2 linked regions of the Xenopus tropicalis genome follow. The protein of the gene in region 2 binds, or shares a complex with, the protein of the main gene of each other region. Links are inferred from orthologs where the notes say so. Each region holds a gene or a part of one and is shown on either strand. Other genes may lie near its edges.

Evidence for each region.
Region 1: the proteins of rps6ka3 (region 2) and bmf are in contact, whole or in part, in a crystal structure (PDB 8R58), measured with the Homo sapiens proteins. The link is inferred for Xenopus tropicalis from reciprocal best matches to the Homo sapiens genes RPS6KA3 and BMF. Residues at the interface, in NP_004577.1 of Homo sapiens: Trp252, Phe259, Phe268, Leu281, Ala283, Lys284, Leu285, Gly286, Met287, Pro288, Leu299, Arg300, Phe303, Lys304, Arg305, Asn306, Asn309; in NP_001003940.1 of Homo sapiens: Glu8, Leu10, Glu11, Asp12, Asp13, Val14, Phe15, Gln16, Pro17.

Annotation. Positions count from the first base shown.
Region 1 is NC_030684.2:114,253,177-114,259,667, forward strand, and holds part of bmf (bcl-2-modifying factor), read right to left. Parts: intron 5,295-6,491; coding exon 5,156-5,294; coding exon of another isoform or gene 5,140-5,155; intron 4,731-5,139; coding exon 4,641-4,730; intron 1-4,640. UniProt on the Homo sapiens protein: May play a role in apoptosis. Isoform 1 seems to be the main initiator.
Region 2 is NC_030678.2:43,793,662-43,799,377, forward strand, and holds part of rps6ka3 (ribosomal protein S6 kinase alpha-3), read right to left. Parts: intron 5,414-5,716; coding exon 5,255-5,413; intron 4,178-5,254; coding exon 4,016-4,177; intron 3,580-4,015; coding exon 3,503-3,579; intron 3,307-3,502; coding exon 3,189-3,306; intron 2,648-3,188; coding exon 2,507-2,647; intron 1,769-2,506; coding exon 1,643-1,768; 3' UTR 1-1,642. UniProt on the Homo sapiens protein: Serine/threonine-protein kinase that acts downstream of ERK (MAPK1/ERK2 and MAPK3/ERK1) signaling and mediates mitogenic and stress-induced activation of the transcription factors CREB1, ETV1/ER81 and NR4A1/NUR77, regulates translation through RPS6 and EIF4B phosphorylation, and mediates cellular proliferation, survival, and differentiation by modulating mTOR signaling and repressing pro-apoptotic function of BAD and DAPK1.

The DNA.
Region 1 (6,491 bases), on a different chromosome or scaffold from region 2:
GGTGCCTATAGTAGCAGTGGGGGGATAATAGCCTCTGGGAAGGGACTGGGGCTGTGGGATAGCAGGTATAGTAGGGTGAGATGGTGCCTATAGTAGCAGTGGGATAATAGCCTCTGGGAAGGGACTGTGGCTGTGGGATAGCAGGTATAGTAGGGAGAGATGGTGCCTATAGTAGCAGTGGGATAATAGCCTCTGGGAAGGGACTGTGGCTGTGGGATAGCAGGTATAGTAGGGAGAGATGATGCCTATAGTAGCAGTGGGGGGATAATAGCCTCTGGGAAGGGACTGTGGCTGTGGGATAGCAGGTATAGTAGGGAGAGATGGTGCCTATAGTAGCAGTGGGGGGGGGGGGGTAATAGCCTCTGGGAAGGGACTGTGGCTGTGGGATAGCAGGTATAGTAGGGAGAGATGGTGCCTATAGTAGCAGTGGGATAATAGCCTCTGGGAAGGGACTGTGGGATAGCAGGTATAGTAGGGAGAGATGGCGCCTATAGTAGCAGTGGGATAATAGCCTCTGGGAAGGGACTGTGGCTGTGGGATAGCAGGTATAGTAGGGAGAGATGGTGCCTATAGTAGCAGTGGGGGGGGGGGTAATAGCCTCTGGGAAGGGACTGTGGCTGTGGGATAGCAGGTATAGTAGGGAGAGATGGTGCCTATAGTAGCAGTGGGATAATAGCCTCTGGGAAGGGACTGTGGGATAGCAGGTATAGTAGGGAGAGATGGTGCCAATAGTAGCAGTGGGGGGATAATAGCCTCTGGGAAGGGTCTGTGGCTGTGGGATAGCAGGTATAGTAGGGAGAGATGATGCCTATAGTAGCAGTGGGATAATAGCCTCTGGGAAGGGACTGTGGCTGTGGGATAGCAGGTATAGTAGGGAGAGATGGCGCCTATAGTAGCAGTGGGATAATAGCCTCTGGGAAGGGACTGAGGCTGTGGGATAACAGGTATAGTAGGGAGAGATGGTGATAACTCTGTCCAAAAGCAAGTTACCAAATTGTGCCTTATCAGGAACAGGAAGTAACTTGCCCATAATAAGAAGTTAGGCTGCAGAACTGTATGTACTGTGATGAGCTCCATTGTATTCCTGTGTAATGATATCATCTCATAGGTCCTAGCCAATGGGTGGGCCAGTCAAATAATTAGAGTTTGGCCCTGTAGTAAAAGCAGAAATACACATCGCCTCACAAAGAAATGTGATTTTTAATAAGGCAATTGTATTGGAAAGTTGCCCTGAATTTAAGATTCTGTGTTGGTAATGCAACCATCAGCTACATACACTAGTAAGCAGCACTCTCCCCCCAGGGGCCCAAGTTATTAGACCACCATATGCCTGGGTCCCCTGAGTGGTGGACCCTGTCAACTATGCAGAGTTTGGCACAAATATTAAAAAAAAAAAAAAAAAAAAAAAGCCTAATTAAATAGCGCTCCAAGTCATGGCCTCAACCATATGCCCTGACCCCTTTGTGGAACATTAATCAGACTACTGGCTTCCTTGGGCCCCACTAGGTTTGGGATACTGTTAAATCCTTTTTCAAGGATTTGGTCAAACTGCAACTGTTCATTTGACTTCACCAAAGTCATGTTCAAGACAACTGAATATTACATTTTTTTTTACAGATTTGTTTACAGATAATGCCATTTTTTGTTTAAAAATCTGAATAAGCAAATTATGGTTTAACCGAATCTTTTGTGGATCATTTGTTTACGGCACAAATCCAAAATCTACAGATTTGTTGCATCTCATTCATTTTTATGCAACTTCACATTTTTAAATGACAAGCTGTTTTTCAATGTAAAATTGTATCCATCTTGTATTACAAAAACCAATTCACACATGAATTCATACACATGGAAATGTAATTATTTTCATGGTAGACAGTGGAACCAGAATGCAGTTACTTCCAACACTCACAGTTACTTCTAATGGGGTCCACGGACCAATGCAACCCACAATAAAAACACCAGGTGCTGATAGTACAACCAGTTGGTCCAAATCAAAATCACACACATACAAATAGGTCAGTTTACATGAGCTCTAATTTTTACAAAAAAAAGCAATGGTTTCTGGCGGTTTCTTAGCTGAAAGGTCTCCTTTTTACTTCCTGTTCTGCAACAACAACCCCTGTGCTGATTCCAATGACTTGCTAGTGCAGGGCTATGAGAAAGATTTATGCAAGTGGATCTTCCCTATGACTGGCGATACTTGAAGAACTGTATCAGTCTGCAACTTTCATTTCAACATCTTGTTCTGTCTGTATTCCAAAACAGGTAGTTCCACATTGGTGCACATATGCCCTGGACCACATGCAACACACATACATACTGGTCCTATAGAAACTGGCAGGATCCTTGTGGTCATAAGCTGTCAACTAGCCGTGGATTATAAAGGGTGGTTAAAAGTTCATGAGTCTGCTGTCAGTTGTTATGGGAGCCCAGCGGCTAAGAACTCACAAGCCACACCCACTGCACCTTGCCAACCTCAGTCTGCTCCACCCTGTGCTTCAGAGACAACTCTATCTGGGGCCAGGGAAAAAGGAGGGAGTATGGCTGGGCGAGTGTGGTGTCAGTTTGCTTTCACCATCTCTGTGTTTTCATTTATTTTTCTTTTATTTGGCCACGTTCTGTCTTCCTCCCCCCTCTCTGCTCCCTGACACAAAGTCACTGGATTAAAATAAACCGAGAGAAAGGAGTCAGATTTCTGTTAAACCTGTTCTACCAGTGCTGCTCCTTGACATCAGCTAAAACTGAGGAAAAAAAAAAGAAAGTACGAAGTATGATGGAGTAACAGTACGGTTTATAGCTGGCGCTCATCAACGATTTATTGATTAAAGTGTAGTAGGGACTTGGAACAGCACAACTTTGATAATATGTGGTAATAGCTGTGTGGAAGACATGAATGGCAGCAAGTGGTGTAACTGTCAGTGAACCAACTTATACCATGAGTGAGGACTTATTTTTCCTCACAGAAAAGAATCTGGCCTTTATTGCTGGATCTTCTTCTGTCCTAAGTTTCTTGGCCATTGAGTCAAGCGTATGTGTTTACCTGCCCTAAAACTGGTCTCTTTTTCTCTAGTCACCAACTGCTCCTAATTGCAACTGGCTGTTTGTAGCCGAAGGCTGCCAAACCAATCATCTGGGAATGTCCTGCTGATCCATGACTGACAAAAGATTGGTCTGTCAACATTTTTCCAGCAACAGTTAATTTGGAAGTTGCTGGCAACAGAGCTCACAAAGCATATATCCACTAACACCCTTGTGCCTGGGTCCATAACTATAAATGTTGCCTTGTCACCCAAATATAGGTGTCTAAGGGAAAGACTACACCCACAAGCTGGAGCGATTATATGCATTTATTCATGAGTCTATGATTTGTTTTAGATGTAAGTATGAGTGTTTTTCTATATCAATACACCTTTTGCCTTTTATTCAGTGGCATAACAGCGTTACACCAGGCCCCCTGCAGAAAATATCTTTAAAGGACCCAGCACGCACCTACCCAGCTATCCCTCTACCACTCCCGCTAAGTAGGTAAGAAGCGCCTGGGGAAGGGAAACTTCTTAGACCTATAGAGGAAGTAGACCCCATAGTCCAGGCCCCCCTGCAACCGTGGGATGGCTTCCTTTATAGTTCTGCCACTGCGTTCGTTGCATAATTAACGGCACTCATTAAAACATTTATCTGAACTTTCAAACACAATATATGAAACATACTTGCGCACATTTATCCACAGAAAATCCACCACGTGGATGTTTCAGGCAGTCTTTATAACTTTCCCTGTGTCTACTCCATTTAACAAAGTGCTCATGGGATTTCCATCTAATCAAACTAAGCTCTGACCACAATTTCTCAAAAAACCTTTAACGTTAAGGGCCACGGCTCAAGAGAGATTACACACCCACGGTAATTCTAGGCTACCATGGGCAACTAATCTCCCCAAAATGCCTTCCCACCAGCAAGAAAGTGAATCGCTGTTGTGAAGGCTTGTGCAGCGCTTTGTTTTCCAAGGTTGCCCAAAGTTTCCTTCAGGAGGAAACTTTGTGTGACTTTGGAAAATGATGTGACGTGTATGCCTTCCCACCGGCGATTCACTTTGTTGCTGATGGATAGGCACTTCGGGGAGATTAATCCCCTGTGGTAGCAAAGATTTAACTGCAGGAGACTAATCTCCCTTTTGGGCCATCACCCTAAAGGGGTAGTATACCCCCTTGTTCAACATGTTTGGTCCTTGCAAGGTAGATAATTAGGGGTAATTAGTGGTAATCTAATTATCTAGCTGGCAAGAGCCAAACACAGGAGTAGCTTCAGTTTCCCTGTTTGCCCTATTAAGCTCAAGTAATAACAAAAACTATTTTTTTATTATTAAAACAATGGGCAGAGTATGTTCAGCATAAACCCAATTCATTGAACTCATGTTGAAGGGGATATACCGTGTTAAATACAAGCAAAGTAAAACAAATATTTTAAATTCTTACTTTACATTAAACATATTTTATTAATCCCACTTATTTACATGCTCATAGTAATCTGTATATTTAAGATATTGATATTATTAGATCACAGATTCAGGATTCCATTTCACCCTAAACACCCTAGTCAAGAATACAAAGCAGACGAGTTACACAGATTCTGCCCATACATACCTTCCCTTCCAAAGGCAAAAATTATCCAGCATGGTTGGGGGTATAGATCTGTGCCCATGGAAGTACCATGTTCCTGCCTGTGAAATACCACTTCAAAAAAGAAAATGATTTAAAATTTAAATCAATTCTCTTTGCCAAAAAACAATGGCCTGAGGAAAAAAAATGTGTTCTCTTTATAAGATAAAAAAGCATAGTAGATTCTAATCTATTTTCACAACAAACTGTAAAATCTTCCTATGTAGATAGATATGACATTTGAGGTAGATGAAAAAGCCTAAAAATGCTAAATTCCTTAGCCCCCATTTTGCTGGATGCTCCTTTTTGGTTCTTAGAATGCAAGACTGATAATTAGTCTTTTGTGTGTTTACACCATTATTTTACAGGTAGAATCCTAATGTTGTCCTTAGAAAGGAGTTGCCTGTGGTTAAACAATGATCCTGACTTATAAATTTCTCTTAACCCCTGACTCCTAGATCATATAGAAAAAGTAATGAATTACTCTCTGCAGATGAAACCTGTGAAACTGGTCTCCAATACACTGCAGTTTGCGGGCGATCCGATGCTCTGCGCTCTGTTCTTGCCTCCTGTTGTCAACCTCTTCTCCAAAACGGGCCGGAGAATTCTGAGGGAGATATAATAGGTATCCTGCATGTCCTGGAACACAAAGACAGAGACCCCTCAGTTCTGAAGGGAAACCACTGATCTGTTCAGTGTACAATTTAAGTTATAATGAATGCTTTACATGTGGTAAGAGTATCACACAGCATCAGCCCTACTGAGCCTAGGGTTTGCCCTCAGTCTGCCACTTCTCACCTACTTTCAGCTGCCAGCTCTCCTGGTCCATTCACAGCTAATGATACCTTGTGTATGGCAGGACTGCTGCTTACACCTGCGCATTAGATACCCACACACACAGTAACATGCATACAAGATAGTACCCAGAAATAGCAGATTCTCTGTTTCAGTCATGGCAGCATAACTTCTTTAGGAGGCCTAGATTATTGATTCTTCCAAATCCCCTCCCATACCCTTATCCCAGCCAGTGGCTTGGTTTAGCAGCACACAGAAAGGAAGCCAAAATCCGCTCTGTGTTTCTGCACCCGTGCCGATGCAGCACCTCTCAGTGCAGACACAGGAGGGAGCAGAAGCCAGCAGATCGGCTGATGTCCCGTCTGGTAATAGCCTTAATGGAGACAAAAATCCTGAGGAGCCAAGTTAAGTGCCTATAGCTAGAATGTTTCAGAGGAAAGTGGAAACAGCACATTTGATTCTCCTTCCTTGTACAAACCCAGTAAGAAACTGTTTGCCACTTTTGTGTTTATGCACAAATTGGCAGTGAAAAATCCTGGAAGCCAAAATGCAATAATGATGATAAGGGCACGCATCCAGTTTTCCTAATTAGAAGCACATTATTTTCCATTTTTAGTTTACATCCACACGATCGTTGTCCTCTTCAAGGTCTGTATTTTCAGAGATCTTTTTATTTAATAACAGAATATCAGTGAATTAATTTAAGGAGCTGAATAACAAACAGACTTGCACAGACTGTAGGACACCACCATTCTTTTTCCTGGCTGAGCAATGGTAATGCTAAAACAGGCATGTAAGTATAGGGTGCCAGGAGCCATTTATAAGGATAACCATGTTTCTTACAAATGATAGTGTAAAGAGTGAGCTATTAGTACATCAGGCCTATTAAGTATTTCCTATCCTCTGCTCCCCCAATAATAAAGATTTTAGGAGTGTTTATTAAAAAGCCACAGGTGGCTCTGCTTTTACAACAAATCCAATTGTGCGGATAGGATTATACCTCTGCATGAGTCCTCCACTAACTCTGCTTGCAATACTACC
Region 2 (5,716 bases):
ACGTGATGAGGACAACACACACATTTGTTCTCCTAACCTTTCATGGTAGATTCACTTTCAGCAATAGAAACCACCTGAAATCCATAACTCTTAAAAGGGGGCATCTTGAATTATTTATTACCTCTTTAAAAGGAAGCTCTTAGTGAGAAATTCATTTCATTTACCCCCTGTGGTTTGTAAGGGAAGAAAAAAAAAAAAGCAATACCTCCACCATTAAGCTAATGACACAAGGGTCATTTTTTCCACCAGTGTACTTCAGCCAACAGAGACACGCCAGTAGCCAGTAAGCCTGTGCCCCAAATTCACATTAGAGCATTTTCAGGCAGATAACTGCTTGTACTAGCAGTGTCATAGGACTTCCATTAAAGTCATCAGAAAACAGCACAAACGGGTCAAGTGTTTATTGGCCACATAAAACCCACCAGCAGAGAAACTGCCTTGTGTGCCATTAGCCATAGAACTCAAAAGATCCACAAAAGGCCTGCTTGTCTTATAAACAGTTCATCTCATAGTCAATATCAAACCTTGCAAGATTTTGGCAAAGTCCTTCTTCTGAGAACAAGTAATTATAATAGTACAAGTGCTGACATTTTCCCTACAGCCATCAGGCACTAACAAACAGGTTGTTTTTTATGGTTGTGCCTTAATGCGTGAAGCAGAATACAGTGGCCTGCTCATGCCAGGACAGCTTTAAAGCTTGCACCCGTTTAGGGAGCTAAAGTGCTCTGAAACCCTTAAAAAGCACAGCTGATTTAAAAGTGGATTGCTGAACCAGATTGATGAGGTTGTACATCGTTTCAATGCAAAAAAATAAAAACCAAAGAAAAGCAAAGTGGGAAATTGGAAGGTTACTGATCTACAATCCCGAAAAAAGACAATGAACAAAGTCAGAGATACACCTAGTACTGCTTGCTGGAGGCATAATGCTTGAACTTATTGCAGTTTGAAAGCTATTACGGCGGTCATCCCACAGTAACAGTTCTTGTTGCTCATCTAGGTTGTGATACATTCATGAGAAATTCCACAGTTGTATTTTACAGAGAAGTCCACACAATCATTCCATGGCTATATCTTATTCTGTATTAAGACAAGGCAAAGATGATCTAAAAAGAAGAATAAAAAACACAAAATGTGGGGAAGGGTAGATTGGCAAGACGTTGAATCTATCCAGCAATGCCAGAAGCAACGGCAGAAGGCTGAGTGGCATGTTTTATCCATCGCTTTAAAGAACAAAGAGCTGAAAGTATGCAAGTGCTCAAATAAAAAGTGAACCTAGAACCCGTTATTTTGGAGGACTACGAATACTTATATAAAAATAATGCTGTTCACCGTTGAGATATTTTTGTGTTTTGTATCATTTTCAGTGTATTCTTCAGTTTGAGAGGTGAAGAGTCTATTGGATTCACCCAAGGACAGTTCCATTGTACAGATGACAAAGTCCTGGCATGGTTGGATGGGTTTTTCCATCACTTAACTACTGAGAACAGACAGAAGCAGCAGCATTGATTATGAGAGCCGGCAGAGACAGTGAGCATTTGCTTGCCGGAGTGTCTTTAGGATATGTGCTATCACTGTTGGCTTTAATATTTTTTTTGTGCTGTGAATCTTCAGCTCCAGGCTGCTCTTACAGATGACTTGACTTTCACAGGGCAGTGGAGGTGATCTTCTTTATACCTCTCCTCTGAGCCAGAGTTGAACGACCAACGGGTTCCAGAACGGGAGACAATGGATTAAGGTTCAAAGCAGAGTAAGTTGCTGCCATGGCTCCCTGCATTAAACAACACAAAGGTGTGAGGGCAAGTTAAGAAATGTAATTTTTGCACACTGCCTTCCTAGATTAAACAAATTCCGAATGCCCCTGTGCTCCAAAACTGTTCGGCATTACTGTATTCATAAGGGGCTGGGGCAGTGCAGCTTCTGTGCTCTTTCACTTCTTCCCTGGTCCCTGTAATTTACCCTGAAAACATTTACTATTTTGCTGTACTTTTTATTCCAAAAGGGGTAGCCATTTATTTTAGTGTTGGCATAATACAGAATGTAATGCTTTATAAATACACAATTCTGTATCCCCAAAATGTTGAAATGCGGCGAAATAAAAATTACATTCTGCTAAATACTATTTTATGATTTTCTTTATATGGTTCATATTGCCAGATACTGTCCATGTGTATATAATGGATTCATTCTATGCACTTGGACAGCTGCCCTGGGATTAATAGAAAGTATCCACAAGCAAGTTCAAGTTTTGCAAGTGCAAAGTTAAAATAGCAGTATTCATTAATGATATAAACAAATATATTATGCCAATATATTAGGCACCCCTCCCAGTGATTAGAATCTCCTGCCTAAAACCCCAGGCCAGTGCCCTGGTTTGCTAAAAACGGAACTGGCCCTTGGTACTTCTATAAAAGCTCATCACTGCCATTTTCTTCCGCTTCTTAGAAACTAAGGTTTGGCACCCCACCTTTCCTTAGGCTGGTCTAGAAGAATAAATACACTACATTACCTTTACTAGGTGTGGAGCATCTTGTCTGTTTAGCTGAAACTGAGGCAGCTGGTCACAGTGTACTATCCAGGGGTGCTTGAGTACTTGGGCTGCAGTTAACCTTTGATGTGGATCCACATGAAGCATCTTTGAAACTAGGTCCTATGGTAGTGCATAAAAATATATTTAGCAGCCTTTCTAAACAGTTATTAAACAAAATGAGCATCTTTAGAATTGATCATGAGATAGGATATGAAGCTCGCTTTATATGAAGCCACTGCCCTCTCAGGGAACCCAGAGTGGACAAAACACCAACACAACACAACAGAGCTTGGCACAATATACTGATCTGTAAATAGTGTAAAAACACTAAAATGCAGCTGTCCCTATTATACCTATTTATCAGGACTATCCCACTATAAAGCAGAAATAATTCTGTCTCCTCATACTATTAATATTATTTGAGTGAATGGCACTTCAAATGCAATTACCCCACTTTAAAAGATGGAAGCCAGTATCCAAACAGCACCAGAAGTCACTGCGCACCAGCCAAATAAGCACCTTATTGTTATGAGTGGCAACAATCTTAATGCTGACTCAGTGGGACAAAGCAAGTCTGGGAGATTGCTGTATAATGATGCAACAAACTGCAGAAAAGCAGCAGATAAGGAATACTGAGTAACTGATCTGCACACAAACTGACCTTGGCAATATCTGAAACAGAATTCCAATAGCCACCACTTAGAGAGAACTTTCCACTTCCTATTCTTGCTAGGATTTCTTCTGGTGTATCATCTGGCCCATTTGCAAAAGGAGTGTATCTGAAATATGAGAAAAATATACAGTATTACAAATAGCAGTAACCACACATTATATTTTATTTTTAATGGGTTCAAGAGCAGGTAACTGAACTGGGCAGAGCCTGCACTCATTGATCAGTATAACCTAGTGTTAAGTCTATTATGTATATTTCTGTATATGCCCCTGATGAAAGGTTTAAGCATCATGTTAACTTACCCTGTCAGCATAGTATAAAGTAGTACACCCAGACTCCATATGTCGCATGCTGCATCATAGCCTTGGCGCTTTAATACCTGAAAAAATTAGAGAAGAATATAAAATTAAGCCTAAGTATTTTAAAGTATTTATTCACAGTTCAACAATCAAATTTCATGGATGAGGTATGTAGCATTGGCTACAAGAAGCTATTAGTGCTTGTAAATGACTTGTCCTGTTTATGGCATGCTCATGGTATGTTTAGTGACAGAATTTCTGATAAATGTGAAAGAAGTATTTCACATCACTTTGTGCCTGGAAGGATTTCTGTTTAATGCAGGCAAGATGCTTGACAGTGAGAATATCGTGTACATTTTCCACCCTGTTGTCAAATACAGACTTTACTGACAAAATGGTTACAGTTTACGCCTTTTTTCTTAATGTCTGGGTGGCATATGTTAATAGGGGATACTACAGAGGAACTTTTTACTAGTCATATTAACTGTGAGCAAATCAGAGGAATAGATGAATTACCTCAGGTGCCACAAAATTTGCAGTATAGCATGGAGTCATAAGCAGGCCATTTTCTGCCCTGAGTTGCTTTGCAAAGCCAAAGTCACAAATTCTAATAGACTCAGGGTTCCCAGACTCATCCACGTAAAGAATATTGCTTGGCTTGAGATCCCTGTGGACGACCTAAAATATATGGACATGAAAAGACATGTAAAGAACATGTAATACATTAATTCAAATTAAATTGCGCCCTAGGTGTTTTAGCAACCCTATCAAATTTAATAACTTAGCTTACAAAAATGTTTTTTTGTTCTAGCTTAGTCTTATGGTCCCCATACATGGGCCGATTGTCCAAGGGACCGATATCAGCAGCTTATCGGCTCGTGTAGGGGGAGAAACGAGGGGGCCTGCCCGACCGATATCTGGCCTGAAATTGGGCAGATATCAATAAAAGATTCAGTCGGATCGGGGACCACATCACAACTTGTTGTGAAATGTCAGCATTCTAGACTATGGCAAAAGGGCCATGTTGATCACTGATCGAGTAGTGTAGATCAAAACAATGGGAAGTTGCCTTTAGAACTGTTACCTGAAAGGGTAGTGAAAAGTGCAGCTGCTAAACTAAACTAAAAATGCATAGCTAGTCCAATGCAGAAACACAGCCCAAGTGCTCACAAAAGTATTGGTACTATTATGAATATGCAGTAACCCTACAAGTCTGCAATCTGAACATCATACAGAAAGGTTAACTGGAGAGGGGCTGTACACAATAAAGACATTATTTTCTTACCCTAATATCAGCATATTTAGTATAAGTTAATGCAGCATGCAGGGCAGGTCTAGATTGGGATTTATAAAATGCCCTGGTATTTCAAATACACAGAGGCCCAAACAGCCCCCCTCACCAGCCCAACAGAGACTGTCTATGGCATCTTACTGCAGCCACTCTGGCATTTGCCAGAATTCCCAGACTGCCAGTCTGGGTCTGGGACTGATGCAGGGTGGTAGTTTGTAAACAGTACACCAGCTCTTATTAGTCTAGATACTACCTGTTTCATACTTATTTAACAGTATAATGTAAGCTTGTATAATTTTAGTTGCATAGTGGAACTGCTCTTACTCTACTCGCACATTAAACCTGAAAAGTGTCCTAACTGTTTGATGTTTAAGTGGAAGAACATGAAAATGCATTGTGTAGCATATTTCATGGTAAGCCTGTGCTACCATAAAGCACTACATTTTGCCCAAGTGATTACTTACCCACTGGGAATGGAGGTATTCTACAGTTTTGGTTATCGTGTGCAGCACTGCACTTGCCTCTCGCTCAGAGAAGAACTTTTGCCGCAGTATTTTATCTAAAAGTTCCCCTCCTTTCATTAGTTCCGTTACTAAATACACATATTTGCCATCATCATATACCTGCAACAAAAAGTTTATTTGTACTTTACAGTGAATTTAAACCATTATTACAATATTACAACAGGTAAAACTATGCCCAATGAATGCCCAAAAAAACTATGCCCAATGCAAGCACAAGAGTACTTTATTTAATGAAATGTACAAATATTAGTGTTTAAATGTATTCTACCAGTTTTAAAGGTATAGCACTCAGAATTACCCTTGGGATTGTACCATAAGTTTAGTATATAAACTACAGAATTTTTTATTACACTAGCCCAAACCCTAAAGAAATAAAGTGGGGACAAGCAGGTAAGCCCAATC